Linked DNA regions of Struthio camelus. The protein of the gene in region 4 interacts with the protein of the main gene of each other region in a biochemical or structural test. Links are inferred from orthologs where the notes say so. Each region holds a gene or a part of one and is shown on either strand. Other genes may lie near its edges. The genes, in order: PICK1, MFN1, PINK1 and PRKN.

Region 1 (7,213 bases), on a different chromosome or scaffold from region 4:
GAGGTCTTGAGAGTTTGAATATGACAGTGATAAAATAATAAGCAGTTAGGTCATTTGTAGACATGTTTTCAATGTGTTTCTTACCCCTTCCTCTCTGAGTTGGTAGCCCAGGGTGTGTGTGATAATAGCATACGCTCACCTCAGTACACAAAAAATAAGCCTTATGAATGACTATCCCTTATTCCACCTCAGTGGAGCCAACATCTCCTTCACACCTGCACCATGTAGAGGCATCTGCAAAGGTCTGGAGCATCCAGCAGAAGTGGGGCAGAGATGGGGCGGGCCCTGTGGAGTGGTGGGCAGGGCAGGGCCAGAGAAGGGGAATATAATTCCCACAGAATCAGTTACCTATTGACGATTTCCTCCAAAACAGAAAACACAGCCTGAGGGACAACAATTGAGGAGGGTGTTAGCTCAGTTTTAGTCATGTCGACTCTAAGCTGACAACAGTAGCAGAAAAGCAGCCAGAAACATGAGATTCAGCACAGACCAAGTACAGAGAAATACATCCGAGTGCCAAGAAGCTGACTAGTCATGCAACGTGTGATTTGCTTGCAGACTCCTTATTACACATGATGAAAGACAAGCAGAAGAGAGCTCGACTCTCAGAGCCTGGGCTGAGTTTGCTGGGTTGTCTGCTTAAGGGTGGGAAAATGTATTTGCAGACAGAGCCTTCTTGATCTAAGCAGTACAGGTAAACAGTAGGAATGAAGCCCACTTTTCAGGGTACAGCTGCATTTCATATTTGTGATGTGATAATCAGTCAGACCTACTCTTGAGAACAAATAGCTTCCTGGGAGTTTTTACAGGCCAGCCAGGCTTTTTTTTTTTTTTTTCGGATTTGAGATTACCACTTCCGGCAATAATTCATCACCCTTTCTCTATGGAGATGGTGATTTCCTGGATTTCTAATGATGGGACAGACATGACTTTAGGGCACATGTAGCTTAATTCTCCATCTCATGTACAGAGAGTCCAATTGATCCTGGACAAATCAAGGCTTACTGTGCACATAGGGCAGGGTCAGTCAGTGCATGCATGCATAGGCTCTTGCTTCCATGACATACTGGGCTGCATATGCACACATCAGTGGAACAGCACAAAAGCAGGACACACAAGACCTACCTACAGATTTTGGTCCTGTCAGTGTCAGCAGGTCTGTTTTTTTACCCCAGGCCAGTTCTGCCTCTCGTCTTTTTTTCTAACAGCAGGAGCTGATGGGAAATGAGAAATTCACTGCCTGTTCTTTTCCCTTGCAGTTCTAGCAGCAAAAATGGACCCAGAAAAAATGAGATCCTGCTATTTCTTTTAACCAGTCTGGTGCCCTGCTACGCACAAGGCTCTGAGCAGTCCCCCTTGGGCAAAACCAAATGGTTCGTGTTATGCAGGTGTTCTCCTATGTTTGGAAATTTTTTTTTTCTTGGCAAGAAAATAGGAGAAATACCCCACCATTTCAAACCCAGAGTCAGTACGTCTGACTCTAGGCCCCCTTCCTGACAGCAGAAATTCTCAGCAGTGCCCACACGGTGGAGCTGCCCCCTTAGAAATTAAGCACCGCTGGCTGCCCAGTGGTCGCTACCACCCTGGGACCGGGTAGCCTAGGTTCACGAAACGGGAGGTTAGACCACTCAGCAACAGGACAGTGTAGGACTAACAGGCCCCTAACGCATTGCATGAAGCAATCCTGCCATTGCATGACAGAGAGCAGGTCTGACTTCTACTCCTGTCTCTGCTTGCTGATTACCACGTGACCTTTGCTCATTTGCTTTATAATCTCGTGTCTGTATTAACTGTCAACTTCTGCAGGGTTAAGGAGTGTTTCCTATGTGTTTTGCAGTACCCAGCTAGCCAGGGACTGGAGTTCAGCTGAAGCTGCAATGTAACTTTATCGTAAATACATTATAATGCTATAGTTAACTCCCCCTTTAACAGTTGCCAATAGTGAAGTTATACGTGTCGAGGAGGATGGAGGGACAGGTTTTTTAAATATGCAAATGTATTTCAAAGTAAGTGTTTAAGAGGAAGAAAATTAGGATCAGCTGTTTTGATCCAAGAATCTGAAAGAATTTCATAGAATTATAAAGGAAAATGTTTCCAAATGTTGCAGAGTTTCTCTCAGGATCATAGCACTGCAGAATCAGTCCAGTCAAGTATTGACTCTCTCTAAAGGATAGCTATTCCACAGCTGCTGTGGGCCACCATCTCAGTGCTTACCCACCCTCATAGTGAAGTTTTTTCCTTTTATCTAATCAGAATGTCCATGCTGCCACTTGGGACTATTGCCTCTTGTCTTTTGCTGTGCAAAAGCTCTGGAAAGAGTCTGACTCTGTCTTCTCTGCATCCTCCTTGGCCACAGTAAAGGGCCATTGCACTGCTGGGCCACAGAGACTTCCTCAGTTGTAGAGATCAAGGACTGGCTCATCAATTCCAGGGCTTCACAGATCACAGATGTAAAACTCCTGTCAGCTTCCAGGGTCAGGATATCAGTCTGTTCTCTTCAGAGAGCTCCCTTCTGCAGGACTTGCATTTCTCATTCAGCTTCCCTTCATAAATAAATCATCTTTTAGATGCAGGACTTCAAAATGATTCTTAACAGCCTACTCTTGCTCTTGTACTCCATCATTGTGAGAGGCTTCAGTCGGTGTTTTGATGTATGTAGTTCCTAGGTTCATGATGCTGCACACTGCAAACACTAACCATCCTCTAAGACAGCAAGAGAGGTTCATTGTCTTCAGCCAGTCCTTGTGGCTGGTTAGGAAGGAGTTTTCTGTTCAAAGAGTGTGATTTTCTTGTATTGTTTTGATCTGTGTCAATAAGTCAGGTTTGGCAGCTTGGTAATTCCTCAGAAGTCAGCAGTGGCTGGAAGAGATGATACATAATGCAACAGGAGACTATATTCTTCTGGGAAATCAAAGCATTCTCCCAGTGACAGTGCTCTCTTGATGGAGGCAGAAAGCTCATTTGAACATCTAACAACTACCCCCTCCACATCACAGAGGAGCAAAATGCATGAAAGCTTGGCAATACTGCTTTATACATGACAGTGTGGCACTTTTGCATACAGCTGTGCTGACTGGCTTTCAAAACACAGCTTCCATAGGTCACCACTGGCCTGTCAGCAGTAAAAGCAATTGTACAAACCAGTTTGGAAGCTCTTTGTACCCCTGCTTTCATCTGAATCAGTCCAGAATGCTTTCCCATTCACAAACATCTTTCCGAAATGTTCCTTTGATACATGCAAGCATTGTATATACATATTTTTATAGTGTGCATCATCTGCAATAGGCAATGGCAGTCTGTATTTTTCCAAGAGGGAAGTACAAAAAATTGTGTTTTCCTCAGTGCTGGCACACATTGGGTGCCCCTCATGGGTTTCCCTGCTGAGTGAACAGCTGAGATAGTTTGCCATGATACCTTAACTGTAATAGGAAAAGTCATAGTGTTAGTGTTTTGTACTACACCATGAAACACCTACACCCCCTTTAGCTCAGTAGTTTCCATCCTCTTCCTCAGCTGTCACCAACTCCTTGTCTTTCTGTCTTGGTTATTTTACTGAGACTAAACAGTCTGCTTTCTCAGTGCTCATAAATCAAGGTTTTTGTAGTGAGGCGACTGTGATACCTAGTGAATCTAAACCAGAGCTGGGATGCAGCCTAAAACCGGAGTGGGCATTGCAGGCCCCACACCACCACACGCCACTCCCTTCCTGGTCCCTTCCATGCTGAGGTAACCCTGTGAGGCCCGAAGGCCTCTCCAGGTAGAGCCTGGAGGGCACGTCCCCCAAGGGCAGCTCTCTGCCAGCCCAGCTCCCCGAGCTGGCCCCACAGGAGGGGCGGGCGGGCGGGAGGGAGGATGCGCCTGGGCTCTGTGGCGATCTCCGGAGCCACGCAGACTGCGCAGAGGAGACCACGCGGTTCCCATGGGGGGCGGCCATTTTGTGGGGCTCTCCCACCCCGAGGCGGGTCGCGCCCCTGGGGCTGCAGCGCGCCCGGGGGCCCACGGGGGGGCGCCAGAGCGCTGGGCCGGGCCGGGCCGGGGTGGGGTGGGGTGGGGTGGGAGGGGGCGACGCCCCACTTCCCCCCGGAGCGCCACCATGCCGCTCTCAAGATGGCGGCGGGAGCGGGGCCGGCGCCCGCCGCGTCGCCCGTGCGATTGGCTGCCCCCGATCGCCGTGCGCTGTCGCCATGGCAACGCCCGTCGCCAAGCGGGGCGGGCGGGGGGGAGGAGCTCCGGGCGCTTCCGGGTTGGCCCCAGCAGTGACGTGTCGGCGGTCGGAGTGCGCCGGGCGGCAGGTGGCGGCGGGGGCCGCGCGCGGGACGGGCACTTCCGGTGAGCCACGGGACACCCCCCCCCCGCGCGCTCCCCTCAGGGCCAGCGGGGGCGCCCCCTGGGGTTGCCCCGGCAACGCGCTCCGCGGGGGGAGGGGCTGTGCGGTCGTGCTCCGCCCCTCCCCCCCGGCCCTGTCAGCGTCCGCCCCCTCCCCAAAAATCCCGAGTAGCGCCACAAGCGCAGCTCCTTCCGCCCCCCAACCCCCCCGCCCTAACTTTGCCCTCCTCCGCCCCCCCCCCCCCCGAGCGTGGCCGTGCGTTTCGCAGGGCCGCGAGGCTGCGGGAGGGGGCGCGGGCGCGGCGGGTAACGGACCGCGTCGGGCCGAGCGTGTCTGAGGCGCGAGGGCATGGCCGGGAGCGCGGAGGCAAACTGTGCGCGAAGCGGTCGTGCGTAGGTGGCGTGTGGGGAGGATGTGTCTGTAACTGCCTCCAAAGGTCACCGCTGGCTTTGGGCGCGGTGCGGACATAAGCGATGTGTGACTGTGCGTTTGGTACAAGCAGAGAATGAGCGGAACCAAAATAACGTTTGCTAACTCATGTCTGAAATTAAAAAAAAAAAAAAAGATGCACAGGGGGGTTTGCGTACGGGAAATGTAATGAGACCTCTTCTGAAAATGAGTTAGGAAAAGCTTTACGTAGCCTCCCAAGGTAGGAGATGAACATCAACAAAGTTAGAAACTTGCTATGAAATCAAGAAAGAAACAAATATTCAATGCACTTAAAGGATAAAACCACAGATACCTTTAGAAGTTACGGTGATAGACAGGTGGAGCATGTAAAGAATCAGTTTCCAGAATGGACTGTATTTTGTTCTCTGCATTGGAAATACTGTATGTATATGGGTTTTGAAACAAGCAATGTTTGAACTTGAGGATTTTCTCTGGTCTCTCACTCAGAGCAGAGAATGAGAGACGCTTGAAATATTTTTCCTCTTCAGTACAAGAAAGAAATGGAGAGCACCATTTGAAATAAAAAAAAAAAAAAGAGAGAGAGAGAGAAGGGTTAACAAGGGTCACAGGTTAACTCTGCAATTATCTATTGAGATCACTGGTTTATTGGGTTTTTTCTTTCTTTTCAGGCAGTTTGGAATAAGCAGCGTTTCAGACCAACAGATTCCATTTAGCCAAAACAATGTTTGCAGACTTGGACTATGATATTGAAGAAGATAAACTGTGAGTATTTCACTCGTCTTTTACTATTTTTTGCTAACAGTAGACACAGCTCTAACAGCCAAGATCTAATGGGAACAGAGAGATTTACCTTCTCCTGATGACGTAGGCTAAAGAGTCAGACCGCGGTCCTGATTTCTTGCTTCCTCTGGAGATTGAGGATGAGGCGTTGCTGTGCTGGTGAACAGAGACGAATGATTTCTGTTCCTCTACAGTAACTACCATGAGTTTCTGATCACAAAGCAGTGCTGGCAAGTCTTCAGTAAATAGTGACTTCAGCTAGAGAAGAAATGACTTATAATGGAGGAAAGGAAATAAGAAGCGGGAAGAAATAGAGAGAAACTCTGGAATCCTTAGATCTGTAAGGAGGATAACACTAGAATTTTCTTAGCAAGTGAAAGGTTTTATGAGATTAGCAGAGAATTTGAGATGGAGCACTTGTCTTACGTCTCGTTTGTGAATGTTTTCCTCTCACTGTAGCACAAAGATCAGATGAAGTACTCCCTAAAACATGCAAGCATTTCCTCTCTGTCTAGCAGTGGATGAAGGTATCTCTATCACCTCTTCTTGCATGCAATCACAATAAAGATAGCGCTGAAGGTTTTTCTGCTGATCTGTGCTGATAGACTCTCTAGCAGAAATAATGTGATTAATTCAAATGTGCAGTACCCACTATGTTTTCAGTTTGTATTGACTCAAATACCATTATTCTTTCATACAAATACAGCTGTGCTTGCCATGCCAGCTATTCATTCCCTCTCTCTCATTCTAGTGGTATCCCCACTGTTCCTGGGACAGTAACCTTGAAGAAGGATTCTCAGAATCTGATCGGGATCAGCATTGGGGGAGGAGCACAGTACTGCCCCTGTCTCTATATCGTCCAGGTGGGTGCTCAGGGAAGAAGAATAAACCATGTTGGTAAAAGTGCTGGCCTGAGAGATGGATGGCGTGGAGAGTCTTATGATTTTGGATTTTGTTCAAAGTGTGAAACATCTCACTTCAAAATAAATAAGAACTCATTACCCTGGTATCTAATAGGCATGGAAGAATTAAACTAAGACTTCTGAAATTATTCTTCTCCTCGGAGAGCATGTTAGAATTCAGAGGAGTGGTGTGACTTCCTCAGTTTCGAGAAATCCAGCACTTGAGGAGACATGTCATGGAGACTACAAGTTCCTGAGAAAACAAGATGATCAACCCACCTCTGAGTTAGGAGAGGAGGAAAAAACAAAGCTTCACCGTGAACAGTACTAAATACAATTGAGTTAAACAAGAGGAATAGAAATGTCTCTTCTGCTGCCCTCCCTGTTTCTTCCTTCGGCCCTCTATTCATTTATCTCTTCCTCCTGATTCCAGGCTACCTGTGCTCTTTCTCTTCTCTGCTAGGTATTTGATAACACGCCAGCAGCCTTAGATGGGACAGTAGCAGCTGGTGATGAAATCACAGGAGTGAATGGGAAGTCCGTCAAAGGGAAGACCAAGGTGGAGGTGGCCAAGATGATACAGATGGTAAAGGTGAGAGGTAGGAGGGGGCTGCTGAAGCTGCTGGGTCACAATTTACAGGTGGTTGTCCTTCAGTAAAGGAAGCTGTTGCTGCTTGCTTCCGATAACAGCAGTTTTTGGATTTGCTCTTCCTGCAGGGTGAAGTGACGATTCACTACAACAAGCTTCAGGCTGACCCTAAGCAGGGCAAGTCCTTGGATATTGGTAAGACTT
Region 2 (7,080 bases), on a different chromosome or scaffold from region 4:
AGATCTTAAAACTCATTTGGATTTTAGGCATTCAGCCGATTTACCTCATAAATGTACCGATTGCTTAATGAGGTTTGGAAATGAAAAAGATCTTTTAAGTCACCTTCAGGTACATGAGACAGCTTAATTAACATTCTTTCCCTGTAATCGATTCGTTAGAATGGGAATTCTTTCCAGTCAGTCACTAAAATGTGAAGTTAAATACAATTTAACAGCGATTGTACAGTGGAAAATACTCACGCTTGCTCTTTGTATCAACAGAACACGTATGACAACTTGGCGTTGTGAATTTTCTTACTTGGGGGTTTCCGTAGGAATAATCGCATTTAGAGTGTGATGGATCAGATGCTGGGGGGAGGGACAGTGGGAGTAGTTGCCTGTTGTAATAGCTGTTCTGAAGGTCATCCTGTATTTTCATGTTTAATATTAAAGAGCTGCTTTCTTAAGAGTTTTAAAAAGAGACAAAGAGAAAGCCAACAGCTAGTTTCACGCTTAAGTAACTGTGCTTGCCATAGCGTTCACTTGCACACCGAACTCATGTTACCCTCTGCAGCAGCAGGTCAGCGTGCTTATGTCTAGCAAATTGCACTGGCCGGCCGAAGATAAGCGTAAAAATTCCCAGGCACGCAGTCTCTAAAATCATATGTTAGCCTGCATTTCCCACCCCCTGCTTTTGATAAGCTTTCAAAATTGACCTGTTTCCTTGGAGTACCTGTCCTACGTCGTGGTTTTGCTTCCTGTCTTTCTCTGTGCAGTGTTTAATTTCGACATCTGTCTGTGGAACCGCCCAGCAATACCTTCTAGTGCTTCATCAACTCCCACACGTTTACAACAGACTTCCCCTATTGTTTTTGTCTCCTTCGTTTACCTTCAGCCCTTATCTTTCTTTTGATACGTTAATGAGATGTGTGGCCTGCCTGTAGGTCGGGTCAGGTTTTAAGGCGCCATTGTAAGGGAATTTGCCAAGTGATCCAGCTGAGAATGTACGAAAAGCATGGTCTTTGCATGTAAAATCGTAATTGAGCTCTCGCTAAAAGGGTGTATGTCAGCAACCTCATTTAGAGCAAGGCTCTATTTGTTTATACTATTATAATTCGGTTACTTTGTGATTAGCTTTCTGCCGCTGGTAGTTGGAGGACAGGTATTTTAATTCTGTAAATTTTAAACTTATCCTATGTACTGGTTTAAAGCCCCGGCACAGTACATAAATTCTGTTAACTTTAATCATTTTCAAATGATTTTGCACATCACATTCAATAGTACTGTCTTTATATTATAATCTTTAAAAGTGAATTTTTAAGCTTCATCCTGTAGCTGTATTTCTGAGTGACTGATGCTTGGGCTGATAGTAAGGATGAGATCATTTAGATTGTGGTAGTTATTGGGGTGAAATTACCCCTATGTAAGTGGTGGAATTTCAATGTCTTTCTGTATTGACTGTAAACTTGTATGGAAGATTGTCTAATGCAAGCTTTGTATAAATCATGTATAAAACATTTCTTGAACAAGGAGATTTGGTGTTAGTAGCAGCAAGGTGTGTAAGGGTCTTTGCACTGGATTTTTAAAGGTAGGGATAAAAATTGGCTAAATTCAGTCAGCTTATGGAAGTTTAGTTTCTCGAGAAGTGTTTCTGCAGTCTAACATGAGCCAGTTAGCGTATGTTGCTTTGCAGGAGGCAAGACCATTTTCATCATTTGGAAATGCTGGTTTGCTACTGAATCTTCTGTGTAGTCATTGAAAAGAACAACCTGATCCCACAATGATTGTATTTTATTAATCCATTTATAGACAGTGACAGTGTCTGTAGAATTGCTAGCTTCCTATTTTGAACACGTCTATCCTGGCTGGCTTGCTATGGTAGCAATAACCTAGTTAACAAAGTAATAATAAGAACTAATTTGGATATGGAAAGTTAATTTTGCTCATCTTGGTATAATTGAGGAGGGGCGAATGCCAGTCCTCCTCTTACAAGCAGCTCCTGGTGACACACAGGTGGAACGGCACTGATGAACACTGGAGAGCAAGCCACTTTTTTTCGGAGACTGACACTAAGAAGGGGCCGCACTGTGGAAGGCACAAGAGAACACTGGGCTTTAGCGTGTCCCATCCAGGAAAGGGAGTTTTGTAGGCGCCGTGGAGCGCTGTGATGCGGAAAAGTTCCTTGACTCCTGAATAGCTTCGTGCCTCTAATTGTTGACTTACGTCCGTTTCTAATCTGTGAAATGGGAATTAAAAGAATACGTCATAGGAATGTTGTGAAGACCACTTGTTCCTAACAAAAAACCACCACGGTGTCTAATTAGCAAATATATGAAATTGAAATTTGTCTTAGGTTGAATTTTATAAATAAGAGAACAGTTTTTTTTTCTTTTAATATCTGCAGAAGGTAAATGGGAGTTTACATGAGCAGGTGGCCTCATTTTACCTTAGCAAGAACATAAATAGGATATTTGCTTCCAAATGCATGTTAAACATGACAGTGTGTGTAGTAGAAAAAACAAGTAATAAGAGTTAAGTCTGTCTAGAAGTTGGGAGGCCAAGAGGAACGGTTGTACATGTCAAGGACTATCTGTTGCTCCCCGCTGAAGGAGTTTACAAGGTAAAGGCTGTGAATTAAAGAGGAGAGGTTTGGTTTATTTACAGGAAATGCGTTAAGTGAAAGGACAGTGTTCTGAGGTGTCTGCATTAAGGTGAATTAAGACGACTTGAATGCTGCTGGTCTGATAACTGCCAGAGACTTGCATTGTCTTTATTCTTACAGCTTGAGCAATTCTCCTTGGTCTTGAATTAGAGAAATTACCTGTGGTAGTCAGAAGGGAATTATGCCCATATATTTTTTTTTTTCTCTGAGATGGTAAATAAGTGGGTCAAATTGAGTGTCTTGCTCCAGTGAAACCCGCAAGGTGCAGCTATCTGAGTAGCAGCATTCTACCTGGAAGCTTTACAGAATCACAAGACTGGCTTCAGAAATAACTTGTATTTGGTTCTTTGTCCTCAGGCTTTTGAGCCTTTAGGTTAACTGTTGTGTATTTTAGCTTCCTGGATCATGTTTGTTATTAAACAAGAGAACTTTTTATACGAAAAATTCTGCTGACTTGAAAACAAAATGAAAAACCAACGAATTATTGCAGGAACTTAGGATACAGTGCATTAGTAATTCTAAAATGATGTGTTCTCCATAATGCTTATTAAGTGCTGTAGACTTTCATGGTTTTCTGTGGTTCTCATTTTCCTGTGCTCTTTCGTGGTGATGTATCCAATATATAAATTATCAGTGCTTTTGAACTCTATAAAGTATTTTAGCGTTTGTCGTTTTAGTTAACAGCTGACTGATTAAACTGTGGTGCTGACAGTATTCAGGAATCCAAAGTCATGGTTCATGTTTTTAGATGTTTGTGACAACTTTCAAGGGCTTGGAAGCTGAGTGTTTACAATCTTAGATATGAACTGGGAGGAGCAGAAAGCTTATGAGCTGCTTATGAGCAGCGCAGGACACCGTTAGGTATAAAAGACTTTCAGTTCATTGAAGCTACGGTTTTATGTTGTGTTTTGCATCACGCAGCGCCTTGTAACAGCTGTGTCGGTCTACTTCTGGCTTTTCCAAACAGTTGCTTGGTACTTCAAGCAGCTTCTCCTCTTCCAAATGTTTGTTAATTAAAACAACAGTGTTAGCCCTACCTACTTCGGATTGCACCTAAATAAACAGCACGTCCATGAAGTGAAGCTGCCATCCCGGTAGACAAACGGCCAGGCAGCAGCCAGCGTCGGGGGTGCTCTGACAGAAAGGGCCGAGCCTCCCCATGGGCGGGAAGGGTAGAGAGCTTAAGATGGTCTCATCTCTTCACACGGTCCCGCTTGTAATTTCTGAAGGGGTGAGGAAGTCCTAGAGCTAGGCTGAAGGCGAAGGGAGGGCGTGCACTGCAGCCCGCCCGGCCGGGCTCCCCGCGCGGCAGCCTGCACCGCCACAGGCGAGCCCCCGCCTCCATTTCACAAGCACCGCGACGCCGCCGCTGCCCGCGCCCAAGATGGCGGCTCCCTCTCCCTTACGCACTTCCGGCCCGCGGTGAAAGCGACGGCTTCTGCGCTCCCGCCCAAAATGGCGGCGGAGCCGGGAGGAGGGTGAGCAGGAGACGGAAGCGGAAGCGCCGCCCGCCCGCCCGTCCCGTCGCGTCCCGTCCCGTCCCGTCCCGTCCCGTCGCGTCCCCTCCCGGCGGCGGGCAGCGGCAGCAGGAGGGAGCGGCGGCGGCCGTTGCCGGGTGACGGAGGCGCGCGCGCGCGGGGCCAGCGGGTCGCTCCGTAAGTGAGGTGCCGCCGCGCGTCCCGGCCTGGCGACCGCTGCGACACCGTCCCGCCGGTCCGGCCTGCCCTCGGCGAGCGGAGCCGCTGGCCGGGCCGGGCCTTTCCCGTGCGCTGCGCGAGGGGAGCCCGTGACCTGCGCGACGGTGTGAGGCAGCTGGCCGGGTTTTAGCAAGGGAAGGGGGGGGAAGAAAGGCTGTTGGGTTTGGAAAGGAAAACTAGAGGGTACAAAGTCTGTCGTGAGCCGCCACAGGAGTGTCTGAACGCGGCGGGGAAGGTTCTTAAAATATATATATATATATATATATATATGCTAAAAAGAGCTTTGCGGAGTGGCACGGCAGCTCGCCCTTGCCCGGCGGCGGCGGCGCCCCGAGGAGAGGCCGTTGGAGCGGGCGCGCGGCGGCGGGGGCAGACGCGTGTTGGGCTGGAAAAGGCAAAAAAGCCGCCGGCGCGGGTGTGTGGTGCCGGCACCCGGCTGGAAACTGGGGCGAAACGTTGCTCCTTAGGTAGAGTTCCAGCTGGGTAGTTTTCTAGGTGAGCTCGTGTTTGAAGATTGGCTGCAACTAACCCGGGGATTTGAAGTGCTGTGGCCGATGTTTTAAATGTTAAAGTTTATACCAGCAGGCGAAGTAGGGTGTTCTTGGTGTTGTGAGAAACCAGAGAGGAAAACTTAGTCTTCGTAGACTTGTTTTTTGTAAACCCCCCCCCCCACCGCCCCCGCCGTGACTAGGGAAAAGTAAGAGTTTGTCAGGATAATAAAATTAGTGTAAATTAACTTTTATTAGCGTTCATTGTACTTATTTTCTTAAACGTTTACTGTGTGAGACCTTGCATGACTTTTCGCTTTTGTTGGTGTCCTGAGTGTTGCAGTGACTTTTATGTAACTTTCCCGACAGTTGCACAATGGCAGAACCTGCTGTGTCTCCACTGAAACACTTTGTGCTGGCTAAAAAGACCATTACTGCTATCTTTGACCAGCTGTTGGACTATGTCACTGAAGGAGCAACTTTTGTCGAAGGTTAGTTTTCCTCTTAAACCCAAGGGCCTTGTCTGTTGCTTTGAATTCGCTTTCTGGTAGCACAGCGTGCATAATGATACACGTTAATATGCCGTACGTGTCAGCTTATTCCAGAAAAGTTGCGTTTTTTTCCTCTGAGTTGGATGCTTTCAACTTGGGCAAGCTGGAACGCTTAGGCTGGTTACATATACGAGAGGCTGGGGAATTATTTGGGCTGGTAGCCTAGCCTCCTTGCAGCGAGGGTGAAGGCTTGACCGCAGTCAGTGTTAGCAGTCGTGCAGTTTCTTCTGCACAGACAAGGGACCAGACAGGTTCTCCCAAAATTCAGTACAAAAGTCAGTCAGCTTGTCAGAGCACAACGGAGCACTGGTTACACCCTCAGAAGTGTTAGTAGTGCGGAGGAGCATGTGTTGCCAAGCCAACTTGGCTGCTCATCCCGCAGGTTAATCCTGACAGGAGGAGAGAGCCTAGCCCTGATGTGTTTTTTTTGTTTGGTTCAGTTTGTTTACAGTTGTATAATTAAAATTTAGACAGCTCTATGTTGGCACGTGAAGTACTGATAATCTGTGTCTTGTATCCTGCAGCATGTACTCTGTATGTGATTGCTTTTGTGCTATTCTTTTTGTATGTCTAGGAACATACAGGAACCCAGAGCTTGAACATGTAGCAACAGAAGATGAACTATCAAAGATACAGGCATATAAGGATAAGCTAGCAGTCATTGGTGAGGTGCTTTCACGGAGACACATGAAAGTGGCATTTTTTGGCAGGTAATGGATAAAATTATCAGAGCTTTTTTTTTTTTTTTTTTTTATTCCTTTTTCCCCTCATGCAGGACTTAGTGACCGTATTTTCTAAGTTTTATGCCCTGGCTTTAGTGTTTCCTCAAAAAATTATTGTTTAAAACATTATATATTAAAACATGTTATTTTGCTAATTGGTGCTAAATCTTTCTTTGATGCCATCTTGCTCCAACACTGTAGCTTAATTACGTACATCTTGTTACGTGTTTGTCATTGATAAACTATATAAAATAATTATTCTGCGTAGATCTGCGATTTGATTGAGGAGGGTCTAAGATTGTTGTTTTCTTCTCCAGAATGTTTATTTTAACTTGATGGTTTTGTTTGTTTTAGTATCTTTGTTTTGCTGGACTGTTGTTTATAAGAACTGTGGTTGGTGTTTGATCACAAGCAACTGTGGAAGAACTACTCTTTGGGCTGCTTTTGTTTCCACGTGTAAGCAACTGATAACAAAGTTAGAGAAACTTGCCTTGTTAATCATTAGTTTGCTATATCCCTGTGATGATTATTAGGGATGACGTATATATTACTGGCGTACACGTAAATCTGAATGAAGTTATGAAGCTATGAAGTTAGGCTCTTCTGTATCACTGACTGGGAGAAGTTCTAGTTCAGACCTTGGTACTGTTACCGCAGACTATTGCATCTTTTACATGTTTAAGTAACACTTCCAAAGTTTTGAGCGTTTTAAATTCCCTTCTGTTCCAAAAAAGATATTTTAAGAATTAGAAAGTTTTTAACTGAGGTTAGCTTTGGATCATCTAATCTTTAATTTTTTTATTTATGTATCAGGCAAATGGAGTTAAAAAGTAAGGTGTTTGTTGCACCCAAAAAATATGTTGTTACATAAAAAATTAAAATATTTTAAAGAAGTGCTGCTGGCTACTTAGACCCAAAGCAGTAAGGTTCTATGTCTCTTTGGTTGTAGCCGTGTTGTGCTTTATTTTTCAGTCTGATCTT
Region 3 (7,190 bases), on a different chromosome or scaffold from region 4:
TGTTCCCGCACCGCCGCGATGCTCCCGCGGGTCTCACCGTTCCCGCACCGCCGCGATGCTCCCACGGGTCTCACTGTTCCCGCACCGCCGCGATGCTCCCGCGGGTCTCACCGTTCCCGCACCGCCGCGATGCTCCCGCGGGTCTCACCGTTCCCACACCGCCGCGATGCTCCCGCGGGTCTCACCGTTCCCGCACCGCCGCGATGCTCCCGCGGGTCTCACCGTTCCCACACCGCCGCGATGCTCCCGCGGGTCTCACCGTTCCCGCACCGCCGCGATGCTCCCGCGGGTCTCACCGTTCCCACGCCGCCGCGATGCTCCCGCGGGTCTCACTGTTCCCGCACCGCCGCGATGCTCCCGTGGGTCTCACCGTTCCCACGCCGCTGTGATGCTCCCGCGGCCGAGCTGCCCCTCCGCCCCGCTCCGCTTTGGGAGGCTGACCTGCCGCGGAGGGGTCCCCCGGCGGTGCCGCCCCCCCGCTGCCGGCTCCCTACCCCAGCGCGGCGGGAGGCGGATGCTGCGGCAGGATGCCGCTGGCCTCGGCGCGGGGGGATGCGGAGCCGCTGAGCTGCCGCAGAGGAGCCGGCGGCGGAGCGAGGCGCAGCCGCTCGCCTGCCCGCTCCTGCTGCGTGAGCGGCGGCAGCGGGGACTCAGCCCTCCGTGGGCTGCTCCACCTCCCCGGGACGCGGCATCAGGCAGCGCGCGGGGAGCCCTCGGCAAACGTTAGCCACGCCGGCAAGCCCGCCGAGCGGAGCCCCCCCCCCCCCTGCTCCCCGCAGGGGAAATTAAGGGCGGAGTGAGGTGGCAGTGATTTTTTTCCCCCCCTTTTCCCCGAAGGCTCGGACCACGGCAGCTGCTCGCCCCGCACAGCCCTAGCGCCAGCGACGAGGCTTTCTCTTCAAATCGGGGCGCTCCTCGAGGCGTTTGCTGCCGGCCGCCCCCGGCGGCGCTCGCGTCGGCCCGGCTTGCAAACGCTGCTGCCTTCTCGCAGGTGGTTTTCACTCAGTTCCCCCCCACCCCCGTTTTTTTTTGTTTTTTTTTGCCATATTTGCAGGCCTTCAAGGATGCCCCTCTTGGGTGGAAATTTTAGCTTTTAGCCTCCTGCCGAATCCGAGGCTTGCTCCGGCGTCGGCTCCGCCGCCGAGCCGCCCAGGGAGACCCCCGTCGGCGCAGCGAACGCGCCCCTCCTCGGCGGTTCTTCGCCCCGGCGCTCCACGCCGCTGCGCGTGCTGCAAACCCGACGGCGGCGGACAACCCCTCCTCTCTCCGACGACCTCGAGCCGGCGCTGGTGCAGCGCAGCTCCGCAGCACTGGCAACCAAAATAATAAAAGATGCAAGCCTTTCTTTCGATCTCTTTATTCGGTTGTGTTTTGGTTTTGTTTTCCAGCAAAGGACGCGGTTTGCTCTGTGCTGCTTTGCTTCCCGGCTCTCAGCGTAAAGGATGGTTTCAGGGACAGGATTTCTAGGGCAAGAATGCAGATTTGGGGGTTTGGGGGTGTTTGTCAGCCCGGTTATTTATAGCTCCTGCGTTATTCAGGTCCCGCTGTCAATGCGGCGAGCGTCGGGGATCGCTGCCGGCTCGGCTTCTCCGGGGACCTGGCGTTTGCTTCCTCCCTCGTTTTCCTGCCCTGCTCCTCTGAGCCGATTATTTCCCTCACAAACAGGCTTTCTGGAGCTGCGAGGGCACCGAGCAGCGCCGAACTGGAGCGAGAGCTGCCGGCCCCGGCGTTGGGGGTCGCTCCCCGCAGCGGCCGCAGTTTACCCCTCTCGACTGCAATATGCCCCCTGCAACCGCGATACATCCCCTGCAGCTGCAATATTCCCCCCGCAGCTGCAATTTGCCCTTCGCAGCTGCAATTTATCCCCTGCAGCTGCACTTTACCCCCTGCAATCGCACTTTACCCCCTGCACCGGCAATTCGCTCCCGCGCTGCGCCTTGGCAGCCCTAAAGCTCTGGCGGGTGATATAACATGTTGCATGAGGAAGGTGGTTTGTCCGACTCTCCCCGCATCCCAGGCAGGGAAAACCGGAGCTCCTAAAAGCTTGGGACTTCCCCGCGCTTAAATCAGCGGGCGAGCACGCAGCCGGCGTCGAGCGCGTGGAGTTTGTGGCATTTCTTCCAGCGGCTCAGCTTCGATTTCTTCGCTAAAGAAAGCTCCCGGCTTTTAAATCGCCTATTTTCCATCGGCCTTGCAGGCGGCAGCATATTCTTCCCGCGCCCCCCCGCCTCAGGCAGATGCCGAAATCTCAGTGCAAAAACACGTTTTCAATCCGGATCTTCAACGTGGAATTTTAACTCTTCATTACAAGGCCCGGAAAAGCTGATTTCTCTTGCTTTTTCCCTGCTTTCAACCGTATCGTCTTATCTCGCTGCCGAGGAACCGGTGTTTTCCCTCCCGAGTACATTTTACGACGTTTTCCCATTGAGTCATAAAACAGCTTTGCTGCCGGGGAGAAAAAAAAAAAGAAAGCAGTGATGGAAAATATTCTGCCGATCCCATCGGGACGGCGCCGGAGCCTTTAGAAACGCGGGGCCTAAAGAGAGGGAGGGGGGAAAAGAAAAAAGAAAGGGAAATAAGCGGCGCAGGGGGGAAAACGAGGGGCGGAAGGGCCGGGTCTCGGCGGCGTTCGCGCGGTCTCGGCCCCGTTTCCCACGCCCGCGGGGGCGTCCTCCGGGCTCGGCCCCGCGGCGGGGGAGGACGAGGGCCACGCCGCCGGGGAAATATTTAACCGCAGGGCCGGCGGAGCGATGGAGCGGGGCTCCTCGCCGGAGGCCGAGCGCCTCCGGGCGCTGCTGCTGCAGCGCAGCCGGGAGGCCAAGGCGGCCGCCTACTGCCCCTACAGCCGCTTCCCCGTGGGCGCCGCGCTCCTCACCGCCAGCGGCCACGTCTTCTCCGGTAAGCGCCCCGCCTGTAGCTTTGGGCCAACAGCCGGGAAACATCCGCCAGGGTGAACGGCGAAGTGGGTGGGTGGGGGGTCCGCGTCCTCTCGGGGGCTGGCAGCAGCCCCGGGGTGACGGCGCGCGCCCTTCCCCTAGGCTGCAATGTGGAAAACGCCTGCCACAGCCTGGGGGTGTGCGCCGAGCGCACAGCCATCCAGAAAGCCGTCTCCGAGGGTCACACCAGCTTCAAGGCCATGGCCATCGCCAGGTGAGGCGCCGCGCGGCGGGTTCGCCTGGTCGAGGGCAGCAAGGAGGTGGCGGCGGGGGGACACAAACAAGGAGGGGGCTGCCCGAAAGAGCGTTTCTTCAGGTGCCTTCGCCCCCCCCCCCCCGGGGGGTTCGCCGGCCGCCCTCAGCTTTGCCTCCTCTTCTCCGGCAGCGACCTCGAGGGCGACTTCATCGTGCCCTGCGGCGCCTGCAGACAAGTCATGCGGGAGGTAAAGGGCTTTTTTCTCCCCCCTCTTCGCTCCCCGGCTCGGCCCTTCCCGGTGTCCCCCCCCACCCCCCACACGCCGGCCCGCGGGAAGACTCTTGGCGGGATTCCCGCGGCGCCGGGCGCCCGTTGATCCTCTTCTCGCCCCGCAGTTCGGCCGGGACTGGGACGTGTACCTCACCAAACCCGACGGCACCTACGTCGTCAAGAGCCTGGAGGAGCTTTTGCCGCTCTCCTTCGGGCCGGAGGACCTGAGGAAGCTGTGATTTTGGGGAGGGGGCGGGAGGCCGAAGGGCGCCTGCGGGTAACGCGACGGGAGCCGAGGGCCGAGGCGGCGGAGGCCGGTCAGCCGCGGTGTCGCGGAAGGTGTAAAACGCGCCGAATAACACAAAACCCGCCACGCCGGCGGGGCGGGGGGGAAAAAAAAAAGGGCTGGGTCCTTCGGTTGTGGAGGGAGGGAAGGCGAAAGGGGAGCGCTCCGCCGGCGCTGCCGGGCGGGCGGCCTGCGGCCCCACCGCGGCCTCCGCGTCTTCCTCTCAGGGGCCTGAACCGGGGGGGGGGGGGGGGGTCACCGTTCCCGGGCCAACGGCAGCTCGGCGGCAGAACCGTTGATTAAATAACGCGCGGTGGTGGTGGGGGGGGGAAAAAACCCGGAAAAAACCCGAAAAAACCGAATAAAAGGGGAGGGGGGGGGCGGTGTTAAGGGTGTAACCGTCGCCCGGCGGGGGCGCGCGGGGTGACGTCAGCGCGCGCGCGGGAGGGGGCGGCGCGCGCGGGGTGACGTCAGCGCGCGCGGCGGCGGCGGTTGGAGCCGTTAGAGCCGTTGGGCGCCGCCATGGCGCTGCGGCTGATGCTGGCCCGCGCCCTGCGGCTGCTGCCGCGCTGGCGGCTGCCCCGCGCCGCCCGCCCGCCGCCTTCCTCCTCCTCCTCCTCCTCCTGCCGCCCTCCGCGGGGGTCCTGGCTCCTCGGCGGGGCGGCGGCCGGGCTGGCGCGGCGGGTCGGCGGCGCGGCGGGGGGGGGAGGCCGCAGCCTGGCGCTGGCGCTGGCGCTGGCCCTGCTGGAGCCGCGCCTGGAGGAGCAGCGACGGGCCGAGGCGGCGTGCCGCCGCATCCAGGTGCGGTGCGGCCCGGCCCGTCCTGGCACCCCTGCCGGCCCCCGAGGTGGGGGGGGGGGTGGTCCCCTGCCGTAGGTACAGCCCGAGAGGGGCCCGGGGGGGGTCCCCTGCCGAGAGTACAGCCCGAGGAGGGTCCCGGGGGTGTCCTCTCTCCTGCTACAGCCCGAGGAGGGTCCCGAGGGGTGTCCCCTGTCCTGGGTACAGCCCGAGGAGGGCCTGAGGGGGGGTGTCCCCTGCCGAAGATACAGCCCGAGGAGGGCCCAGAGGTGTCCCCTGTCCTGGGTACAGCCCGGGGGTGTCCCCTGTCCTGGGTACAGCCCGAGAGGGGCCCGGGGGTGTCCTCTGTCCTGCTACAGCCCGAGGAGGGTCCCGAGGGGTGTCCCCTGTCCTAGGTACAGCCCGAGGAGGGTCCCGAGGGGTGTCCCCTGTCCTGGGTACAGCCCGAGGAAGGCCTGAGGGAGGGTGTCCCCTGCCGAAGATACAGCCTGAGGAGGGCCGGGGGATGTCCGCTGTCCTGGGTACAGCCTGAGGAGGGCCCAGAGGTGTCCCCTGTCCTGGGTACAGCCCGGGGGTGTCCCCTGTCCTGGGTACAGCCCGAGGAGGGCCCCGGAGGTGTCCCCTGCCGTTGGTGGAGCCTGAGAGGGCCCGGGGTGGGGCGTCTCCTGCTGTGAGCACAGCCCAAGGAAGGTCCCGGGGGTGTCCCCTGCCCTGGGTACAGCCCGAGGGGGGCCTGGGGGATGTCCCCTGCTGTGAGCAGAGCCCGAGGAAGGTCCCGGGGGGTGTCCCCTGCCCTGGGTACATCCCGAGGGGGGCCTGGGGGATGTCCCCTGTGGCAGGTACAGCCCGAGGGGGGCCCGGGGGTGTCCTCTGTCCTGGGTACAGCCTGAGGAGTGCCCTGGGGGTGTCTTCTGCCGTGGGTACAGTGTGAGGGGGGTCCGGGGGTGTCCCCTGCCCTGGGTACAGCCCGAGGAGGGCCCGGGGGTGTCCCCTGTTGCAGGTACAGCCTGAGGGGTGCCTCGGGGGTGTCCCCTGCCCTGGGTACAGCCCCGGGGGAGCCCGGGGGTGTCCCCTGCCGTGGGCACAGACCAAGGGAGGCCCTGGGGGTGTCTCCTGCTGTGAGCTCAGCCCAAGGAGGTCCCAGGGGTGTCCCCTGCCATTGGTATAGCCCGAGGAGGACCTGGGGGTGTCCCCTGTCCTGGGTACAGCCCAAGGGGGTCCAGGGGTGTCCCCTGTCCTGGGTACAGCCCGAGGAGGGGGGCTCGAGGGTGTGCCCTGTCCTGGGTACAGCCCAAGGAGGTTCTGGGGGTGTCCCCTGCCGGGGGTACAGTGTGAAGGGGGTCCAGGGGTGTCCCCTGTCCTGGGTACAGCCCGAGGAGGTTCCGGGGGTGTCCCCTGCCGGGGGTACAGTGTGAAGGGGGTCCGGGGGTGTCCCCTGTCCTGGGTACAGCCCGAGGAGGGGGGCTCGAGGGTGTGCCCTGTCCTGGGTACAGCCCGAGGAGGTTCCGGGGGTGTCCCCTGCCGGGGGTACAGTGTGAAGGGGGTCCGGGGGTGTCCCCTGTCCTGGGTACAGCCCGAGGAGGGGGGCTCGAGGGTGTGCCCTGTCCTGGGTACAGCCCGAGGAGGCCCTGGGGGGTGTCCCCTGCCGGGGGTACAGTGTGAAGGGGGTCCGGGGGTGTCCCCTGTCCTGGGTACAGCCCGAGGAGGGGGGCTCGAGGGTGTGCCCTGTCCTGGGTACAGCCCGAGGAGGTTCCGGGGGTGTCCCCTGCCGGGGGTACAGTGTGAAGGGGGTCCGGGGGTGTCCCCTGTCCTGGGTACAGCCCGAGGAGGGGGGCTCGAGGGTGTGCCCTGTCCTGGGTACAGCCTGAGGAGGTTCCGGGGGTGTCCCCTGCCGGGGGTACAGTGTGAAGGGGGTTCGGGGGTGTCCCCTGTCCTGGGTACAGCCCGAGGAGGGGGGCTCGAGGGTGTGCCCTGTCCTGGGTACAGCCTGAGGAGGTTCCGGGGGTGTCCCCTGCCGGGGGTACAGTGTGAAGGGGGTTCGGGGGTGTCCCCTGTCCTGGGTACAGCCCGAGGAGGGGGGCTCGAGGGTGTGCCCTGTCCTGGGTACAGCCCAAGGACGTTCCGGGGGTGACCCCTGCCGGGGGTACAGTGTGAAGGGGGTCCAGGGGTGTCCCCTGTCCTGGGTACAGCCCGAGGAGGGGGGCTCGAGGGTGTGCCCTGTCCTGGGTACAGCCCAAGGAGGTTCTGGGGGTGTCCCCTGCCGGGGGTACAGTGTGAAGGGGGTCCAGGGGTGTCCCCTGTCCTGGGTACAGCCCCGGGGGAGCCCGGGGGTGTCCCCTGCCAGGGGTACAGTGTGAAGGGGGTCCGGGGGTGTCCCCTGTCCTGGGTACAGCCCGAGGAGGGGGGCTCGAGGGTGTCCCCTGTCCTGGGTACAGCCCGAGGAGGTTCCGGGGGTGTCCCCTGCCGGGGGTACAGTGTGAAGGGGGTCCGGGGGTGTCCCCTGTCCTGGGTACAGCCCGAGGAGGGGGGCTCGAGGGTGTGCCCTGTCCTGGGTACAGCCCAAGGAGGTTCTGGGGGTGTCCCCTGCCGGGGGTACAGTGTGAAGGGGGTCCAGGGGTGTCCCCTGTCCTGGGTACAGCCCAAGGAGGTTCCGGGGGTGTCCCCTGCCGGGGGTACAGTGTGAAGGGGGTCCGGGGGTGTCCCC
Region 4 (7,407 bases):
ATGTTTCAGTATAAACTTTAGAGAAAGAAGGATTTACAGTCATGACACTACACATTCCCATGTTATAATAGTATCTTTCTGAAGCATTTTTAAGGATTCAGTGATAGTTGGCTTGTTTCACAATATGCTGGATTTGAAAACTAGTATTCTGAAGTAAACTTTGGTTGATTATCAAGCCACTGACAATTATCTGCTGAAAAGAGTATTTAGAGCCAGTTATGTTGATACCAAAGTACCTAGTGAATTCACCTAGTGAACGCCTTTTATGCACTCAAACTTCCTTATTTCAGCACGAGTAAGCCTGCTAAGCTAGCTGAGTACGTACTTTTGAACATCTTCAGCATTACCTTAAAAAAAAATCCTGCTTTTAAATAATTATTAAATTTTTTCTAGAGGAAGAAAATGTAAAACTTCTCTATAGAAAAGTTTCCTGAAGTCCTGCACTGAACATCCCATTAGCACACAGTACAAATTGACTGCAAAGTTTAAAAATAATACATATGTAAGTGAAATGGCAGTTTTAGGAATCCTTTTTGTGACCTAAAGTGAAACACATTACAGAACAAATAATCTTTCAAAAGCTTTTATAAAAGCAAGAGACACCTTGGGCATTTACCCTGCTCATTGCTTTTAAATATGTACACATGCAAAAGAACTAAAATCTGGGTAGCACTCATGCATTCAGTGCAATTGTGTCTGCTGCCACAGACTTTCCAGATGAATTTGTCCATGGGTTTTCTACACAAATGGACTGTTATAGAATTAACTTATGCTACCATGTTCTAATGCAAATATCATATAGATTAAAAAAATACATTTTTGAAAGCCTCAAGAAATAGCCTCTTACTGAAAAATCAGTATATACAAATTAAACATTATCTTTACTTTTCAGATAAAATTTTAGCATTGCAGCTGTGGTTACTTAGAAATCTACTTATAACCAAATCTTTCTCTAACTACTTTTAGAAACTATTCCAGATATTTTAAGTATTTTGAACATTTGTAATACATCACATTTTAAATTTTCAACTAAGTGTCTACCTGAGAAAAATTCATTGCACACAGTTCTTTGTAAATCTCTGTTCACTCAACAAAAACTAATAGGACAGTAGAATGTAATACAAATGGGATAAGCAATCATCTGAAGGCTATTAAAACCCCGTTATATAAATCAGTGGTATAGCCTCTTCTGGAATGTTATGGGATACAGAAAAAACCCTTCCTCTGCAAAATATACTGAAAAATAGCATATGGGGAAAGAGTTCATAGAAGAGCCATGACCACGCTCAAACACTTGGAGAAAGACAGAATAAAAAGGTCTGGATTTTTCTACTTTGCTATTTTCTTCGCTAAATTAAGAAGATGTTGCTTTTATAGCTGCAAATCAGGTAAAGCTCCGTTTACAGATTTTAAACTAATTGGGAAGTATATTTCATAACCAGTATTCACAAATATTGTTGCCATCACAATGAAAATAAAACTGTAATACCTCAACCATATAAAAATGCTATCTTTATATGCAGTGTGAGTCATCACGTATTTGGACTTCAGTAAAAGGGCTGGAAGCATCAGTAACCACACAGGAATCCCTTATGTACACATAACTTACTGCTTTTTTTGAAAGCATTGTGTTAATTTGTTAATGCATTCAAAAATAAACAACATAGTTCTGTAAAGTCATGTATGTCATGTACTATTCCAAGACGTCCTATCAGAGGTGGACAAAGCACTGAAAGGTGGAAGACAGTGGAATACCTGATATCCTGCGGTTTCTTAAATCAAGCCTTTTATGTAAAACAGCCTCTGTTACATCAGAAAAAAATACTCCAAACAACAACTAAAAACAGTAATTAAGGTCCTAAAGCTAGAAACAGACTGTTTGCAGACCTACTCATATAGATTGAAAACATCACATATAAAACTTCTTTAAACTTTCATTTTAACTCTTATGCTTAAAGAAAACATTACCCAAATGTTCAAATTCATGTTTTGCCAAGAAAAATGTCTGGTAGAAAGAGTCATGGGATTCATGGAGCAAGTTGAAAAGATACTTTTCAGATGTTAAATTAAAGAAGCCAAATCACTTTGATCACAATTGACCGCAGGCTTTTTACCTTGATCAGGTTGTATGTAGATAGCAAATATGGCACCTACATTGAAAACGAAAGGAAATGAACAGCCTGAAGAAAGGAATTTTTAGAACACACCTACCACAACTTACAGCTTTTACTTTTAAATAATCCACACTGAAAAAGTGAAAACAAGATGGGGAGGTAGGACTACAAAACGCATCTCGTGACTTGTGGGGCTCCCCAGCACGGATACATCTTACAGGTAACAGGGGAAAACAAAACGGTGAGCACGGAAGACAACCGATTCACGTACTGCACCGACATCAGGCGGATGTAGCGCCCCACCAGAGCGGCCCAATTCCCAACCTGCATGAGGACAAAATTGCTTCTTTCCGAGCCCACTGCCCGCAACCGCGGCGCCAGAGCAACCACGTGCGAGCTGACAACCCGTGACACGGCAGAAAGCAAGGCCGAAGCGGTGGGTGAACCACGCACAGCTCGCCTAGCCGCATGGACAGAGGCGCGCGGAGGGGGAGCCGTCAGCAGTGACCTTCGCGGGAACAAGGGCAGGACGCGGCGCGGCGCGGCCCCCTCGGACCACAGGGACGCGCTGAGCCGCCGCCGCCGCCGCCCGCGGCCCTCACGTGCCGCAGCGCGGGGCCCGCGAAGCCCCGCGGCCGCCCAGGCGCCGCCCCGGCCCCCACAGCCGGCCCCGGGGCGACCCGCGGCCGCTGACAGCGGGCACCTGCCACCGGCGGACAGGCCGGCAGCGCGGACGTGCCTGCGGGGAGCCGCCGCGGCCCCGCCGGCGGCGGCCGAGAGGCGGGAGGAGCTGCATCCGGGCTCTCCCCCTCACTGAGGCGCTCACTCACCTATCATGACGGCGGCGGGCGCGGGGGCGCGAGCGCGGGGGCGCGCGCACGCGGCCGCCCCAGCGCTCGCTCCGGCCGCGGGCGCGAGCGGCGGGGCCGCCCGAGCGGCCCGCGCCGGCGCAGGGCCCTCTGGGAAGCGTAGTTCTGGCGTCTTCACGCCTCTCAGCTCGCCTCACGTCAGCGCCGCTGCTTGACACCTTGTAGTTGATACCTGTTAGTTTCCGCTGGATGGCTCCGTCCCTCGCGGGCCGCGGGGCCCTGCCCTGGGGGCCGGGGGTTTCCGTCAGCCTCGTGCTTGCCCTGCGCACGTGACGGCCGCCGGGTGGTTGAGGCGGCCGGTTGTTGACGCGTTGCCTAGCGACGGGCGCGAGTGCGGGACGCGTGCGGCCGTCGGCACCGGTTAGTGCCCCGCCCCCAACGGACCCCGGCCGAGGGGCCCTTGCGGGTGGCGCAGGGGTGAGGAGGGGCAGGCGCTGGCCGGGGGGAGGCGCCGGGCAGGCAGGCAGGGGCGAGAATTGGCCCGGGGTGGCGGGCGAGAAGGGCAGGTGGCGATGGAGGGCCAGGGAAGGAGGAGCGGGGGCTGTGGGGAAGAGGAGGGCGAGCCGGGGGTGCAGAAGGGGGCGAGCGAGGAGGCCGGGCAGGGGCAGAGAAGGAGCGGGAGGGCTAAGGGAGGGGTCGTGCCCTTGGTTGGGAGGGGGGCAGAGGCAGACGTGCTGCGTTTCTAACTCACTGGGTTGGGCTTTTCTGTTTTCAGTCTGTGTTTTGGTTCTTGTCCCTCGTGGACGCTGCTGGTAGAGGGGATGGTAGTGGAGAAGGCGGGTTCGAGCCCCCCGAAGACCGTAGGTGACAGGCGGCCCCAGCAGCAGGAGCCACTGGGGCACGTGAAGAAAAGCAAGCAGCAGGTCAGCGATGGATTCACTGTCAAAGCCATGATGAAAAACACCGTGGTATGTCTGCTGCTAGTGTAGGGGTGGTGTTAACTGATTTACTCGCACGTGCCCAGGAAGCATAGCAAACCAGAACTGGGGACAGAGACTGACAGGCAGGTGTGTGGGTTGCTAAGACTTTATTTGGAGTTTGTCAGTTGCTGGAATTACTTTCAGATTTTACAGAAGTGTTATCATAAGGTAACAGCCTGTGCCTGTGGAAATGTTGATGCTTTGCCTCAGAATACATTGCTTCAGTGTCACCGTATTTCTATATTGATTTTTATTGGCAGTGCACGTTGTATTAAAGTACTAGCATGTAGAATTGCGTGCAAGGCTTGCCACTCTGTGTTTAGCAAACTCCTGTCACGTGATACTGTAGTGTTGTATGAAAACATGTTCATCTGCTGTTGCTTTGTGGTATAAATTTGGTGTGAATGTCACACAGGATGACAGGGACCTGGAAAATATGTTTCATTTTTAAAATATGCTTGAAAAACAATAAAAGCCTTTCACACTATAGGAGACTATTCAGTTGGAAACAAATGTTGATTCTGTGATAGCTCTTAGAATGAGCAAGATAAAAATCTAGCAACCTCCTTTCATTAATTGACTGAACTTTTAATGATTTTAGAGGTATACAAGTGAAAATACTAGGTTTGGGCACTTTTGTGTTGTTCTATATTGGTTTATTTGACTGCTTCTATTAGATTTTAGGAATAAAAATAAAAGCTTCAGCTAGTTCAGAATGCAGATGTTCAGCATGACCGTGGTCAAGCTGTTATGAGCACACATCTGTACATAAAACTCCTAGATAGCTTTTTGTTTGTTTGTTTACTTCTGAGTACAATTCAAGTTGTTAGAAAAGTTTTGTCTTCTCAGGATTTTTCAGTTGTGTATATTCTTGTAATAACTGCTATGAAATACATGATTTCCTGTGTTTTGCTTGAACAGTTAACCCTGTTACAGTCTTCCTGGGCTTGTTGTTTCTAACAGCATTTTTTTTTAAAGTTTTTAAACAAACTTCAAATGGAAAGAAATTGTATAAATGAACATTCTTTTTCAGTGGTAGTAAAATTAAAGCATGCTTGACCTCAGTAGAATGAATGTAAAGCAAAAACAACCGGCGTTTTGCCTTAAAGATTGTTTGATTTGTTTGTTTTTAATTCTAGATCTATGTGGCATAGACTGTAACACTTCAGCAAGTTTAAGGATTAATTTTTAAAGACATTTCCTCTTCTCCAGACAAAATTTCACTTCACAGGAATAAGTGCAAATATGCATTCATGCATTGATACTTCAAAGGTACTTGATCTAGTCTAGAAGAATCAGCAGAGTTTCAGCAGCATTGAAGAATCTCTGTATTTCATTAAAAAAAAAGAGCTTTGGCTGATGACTATAGCTTAAGCTATCAGTTTAATCAGAATTTAAGTTTTCTTGTAAATAATTAAAGTTTTAACTTATGGCTAGGATTCTAACTTTCTAAACATTAACAGAATGTTAAACTATGTGGTACTCTGTAATCAGCAAAGGGGCAAATCTGCTGCCTCTTGGGCGGCTCATTGAATCATGGAAATGATAGTTGGCAGGGACCCCTGAAGGTCATGTAGTCCAACCTGCCTTTTAAAGTGGGGCTGTCACTGGCACTAGACCAGGTCAGCCACGCATTCGCCTTGCTGAGCCGTGAGCTCCAAGGGCAGGTTCCGTGACCTCCCTGGGCAGCCTGTTCCATTGCAGCCCTTCCCTCCTGGTGCCCTGCCAGCGGTGATGTTAACAGACATCTCACCCTTTCCACAGAGTGTGTTCATAACTCCTTGCTTAGGACCTAGTGAAACTGTTAGAGGTCCCGGAAGATTCATAATGCCGTGGCTGTTTCTTGCAAAAGGTCTGAGTGAGGCCAGGAAGCCACTGGAATTATTTTCCTGGGGTCAGTGCTCAAAAAGTTAGGGTACAGTTAGGAATAATATCTCACTGCCATTCTATATCTGTTCAGAAGTGGGAGTTCCTTTTCTCTTCTCCAGCAACTGATGAAATGGAGCTTCAGATTTCTTAAGTAGTCACTTCCCAGAGGTTGACATCATAGGTGAAGTTGTCATGGGTGGCTTAGGAATTGATTGGTGGGTTAAAGGCATAGCAAACTAATATAGTTAAGGCATAGTAATTCTTTTTGTTAACAGCCTGCCAAGGAACAGTGTTGCCAACAACATGTTCAGCATCTCCAGGTCAAACAACTAGGTATGGATTTGGTGGAAGCATACAGTGAGGCTTAAACTCTTAGCGTAGAGTCTAACAGGTTACCATTATGCCTATATGGCTGTAAATGTTGTAGTAAAGGTTCCAGAATACTGCTTGTGCAAAGAGTGTCTCACTAAATCATTTTTCATGGAAGTCACTGGATAAATTGTCTTCCCAAGTCTAACTTTGTAGCCGGTAGCCAGCCAGTAGTCAGTACAGAATTATAGGCCTCTGGCAACTCTCGCAGAATACTGAGAGGCAATCTCATCAATGTGTACAAGTATCTGAAGGGAGGGTGTCAAGAGGATGGGGCCAGACTCTTCTCCGTGGTGCACAGTGACAGGACAAGAGGCAACAGGCAGAAACTGAAACACAGGAAGTTCCAGCTGAACATGAGGAAAAACTTCTTCACTGTGAGGGTGACTGAGCACTGGACCAGGTTGCCCAGAGGGGTAGTGGAGTCTCCTTCCCTGGAGTTATTCAAAAGCCATCTGGACACACTCCTGGGTAGTGTGCTGTAGGTGACCCTCCTTAAGCAAAGGAGTTGGACTAGATGATCTCCAGAGGTCCCTTCCGACCTCAACCATTCTGTGATTCTGTGATTCTGTATTATTCAAGAGTTTTCTCAGCTTTGGCATGTTATATCTAAAATTTATTAATTTAAATACATTACTTGATAAAAGATTCACCAAGAGTATTATTCCTGAACTGAGGAATGTATTTGGTTATATATTATTTCCTTCCAAAACTGAAAATGTATTTAGCAGTGTAGATTTAGAACTAGATTCAATAAAGGTCTTCCACAGTAATAAGCTAGGTACGAATGACATTTACATCTTATTTGTTTAGTCTTCAAAGTGGAATCAAGAATGCCATGTTAGGTGCTTAGACTTCACATCTAATCCATGGGTAGAATTAGGAAAAAAACTAAAAACTTGTATGCACAGTAGAAAAATGTTTGTATGTGAATCTGGGCAGCAGGAGGATACCTCTGTTCAATTCTGAATCTCTCCAAACAGTTGGTTATTTTTTCCCAGACACCTAACAAAGCTTATTTTTGGCCTTCTGCTCCTGTCCATGAGAGAATAAGTATTAGTGCCCATCTTTTCTGTAATAATCTAGTAGTAAAAGCACTTTTGCAGAGAGAAGATTCATTTTGCTATTTAGGGAAAGGTAGGGAGGGAATTCAAGACTTTATCTCCCGCCTTTTAGAAGAATCTCTTAACTAGCAAGCTACAGAGTAGCTGAGGTAGAAAAGATGGTATAAGGAACAGTTTCCACCTATACTTCCGAAGTTCTATT

What was found.
Region 1: the proteins of PRKN (region 4) and PICK1 form a complex in vitro, tested with the Homo sapiens proteins (3 studies listed by BioGRID and IntAct, with this or other methods). The link is inferred for Struthio camelus from reciprocal best matches to the Homo sapiens genes PRKN and PICK1.
Region 2: of the proteins of PRKN (region 4) and MFN1, one has a biochemical effect on the other in vitro, tested with the Homo sapiens proteins (3 studies listed by BioGRID). The link is inferred for Struthio camelus from reciprocal best matches to the Homo sapiens genes PRKN and MFN1.
Region 3: of the proteins of PRKN (region 4) and PINK1, one has a biochemical effect on the other in vitro, tested with the Homo sapiens proteins (12 studies listed by BioGRID, with this or other methods). The link is inferred for Struthio camelus from reciprocal best matches to the Homo sapiens genes PRKN and PINK1.

The regions. Positions count from the first base shown.
Region 1 is NC_090942.1:58,521,729-58,528,941, reverse strand, and holds the start of PICK1 (PRKCA-binding protein), read left to right. Parts: upstream 1-4,196; 5' UTR 4,197-4,329; intron 4,330-4,477; exon of another isoform or gene 4,478-4,719; intron 4,720-5,406; 5' UTR 5,407-5,459; coding exon 5,460-5,500; intron 5,501-6,269; coding exon 6,270-6,381; intron 6,382-6,883; coding exon 6,884-7,012; intron 7,013-7,137; coding exon 7,138-7,204; intron 7,205-7,213. UniProt on the Homo sapiens protein: Probable adapter protein that bind to and organize the subcellular localization of a variety of membrane proteins containing some PDZ recognition sequence.
Region 2 is NC_090950.1:24,791,851-24,798,930, reverse strand, and holds the start of MFN1 (mitofusin-1), read left to right. Parts: upstream 1-4,069; 5' UTR 4,070-4,096; coding exon 4,097-4,119; exon of another isoform or gene 4,120-4,444; intron 4,445-5,195; coding exon 5,196-5,317; intron 5,318-5,951; coding exon 5,952-6,087; intron 6,088-6,451; exon of another isoform or gene 6,452-6,555; intron 6,556-7,080. Other genes in the region: ZNF639 (zinc finger protein 639), read left to right, coding at 1-127. UniProt on the Homo sapiens protein: Mitochondrial outer membrane GTPase that mediates mitochondrial clustering and fusion. Membrane clustering requires GTPase activity. It may involve a major rearrangement of the coiled coil domains.
Region 3 is NC_090962.1:12,708,676-12,715,865, reverse strand, and holds the start of PINK1 (serine/threonine-protein kinase PINK1, mitochondrial), read left to right. Parts: upstream 1-4,175; 5' UTR 4,176-4,210; coding exon 4,211-4,489; intron 4,490-7,190. Other genes in the region: CDA (cytidine deaminase), read left to right, coding at 2,751-2,898, 3,039-3,150, 3,322-3,508. UniProt on the Homo sapiens protein: Serine/threonine-protein kinase which acts as a sensor of mitochondrial damage and protects against mitochondrial dysfunction during cellular stress.
Region 4 is NC_090944.1:86,490,904-86,498,310, forward strand, and holds the start of PRKN (E3 ubiquitin-protein ligase parkin), read right to left. Parts: upstream 3,016-7,407; 5' UTR 2,952-3,015; coding exon 2,945-2,951; intron 2,551-2,944; exon of another isoform or gene 2,099-2,550; intron 1-2,098. Other genes in the region: PACRG (parkin coregulated gene protein), read left to right, coding at 3,745-3,891. UniProt on the Homo sapiens protein: Functions within a multiprotein E3 ubiquitin ligase complex, catalyzing the covalent attachment of ubiquitin moieties onto substrate proteins. Substrates include SYT11 and VDAC1.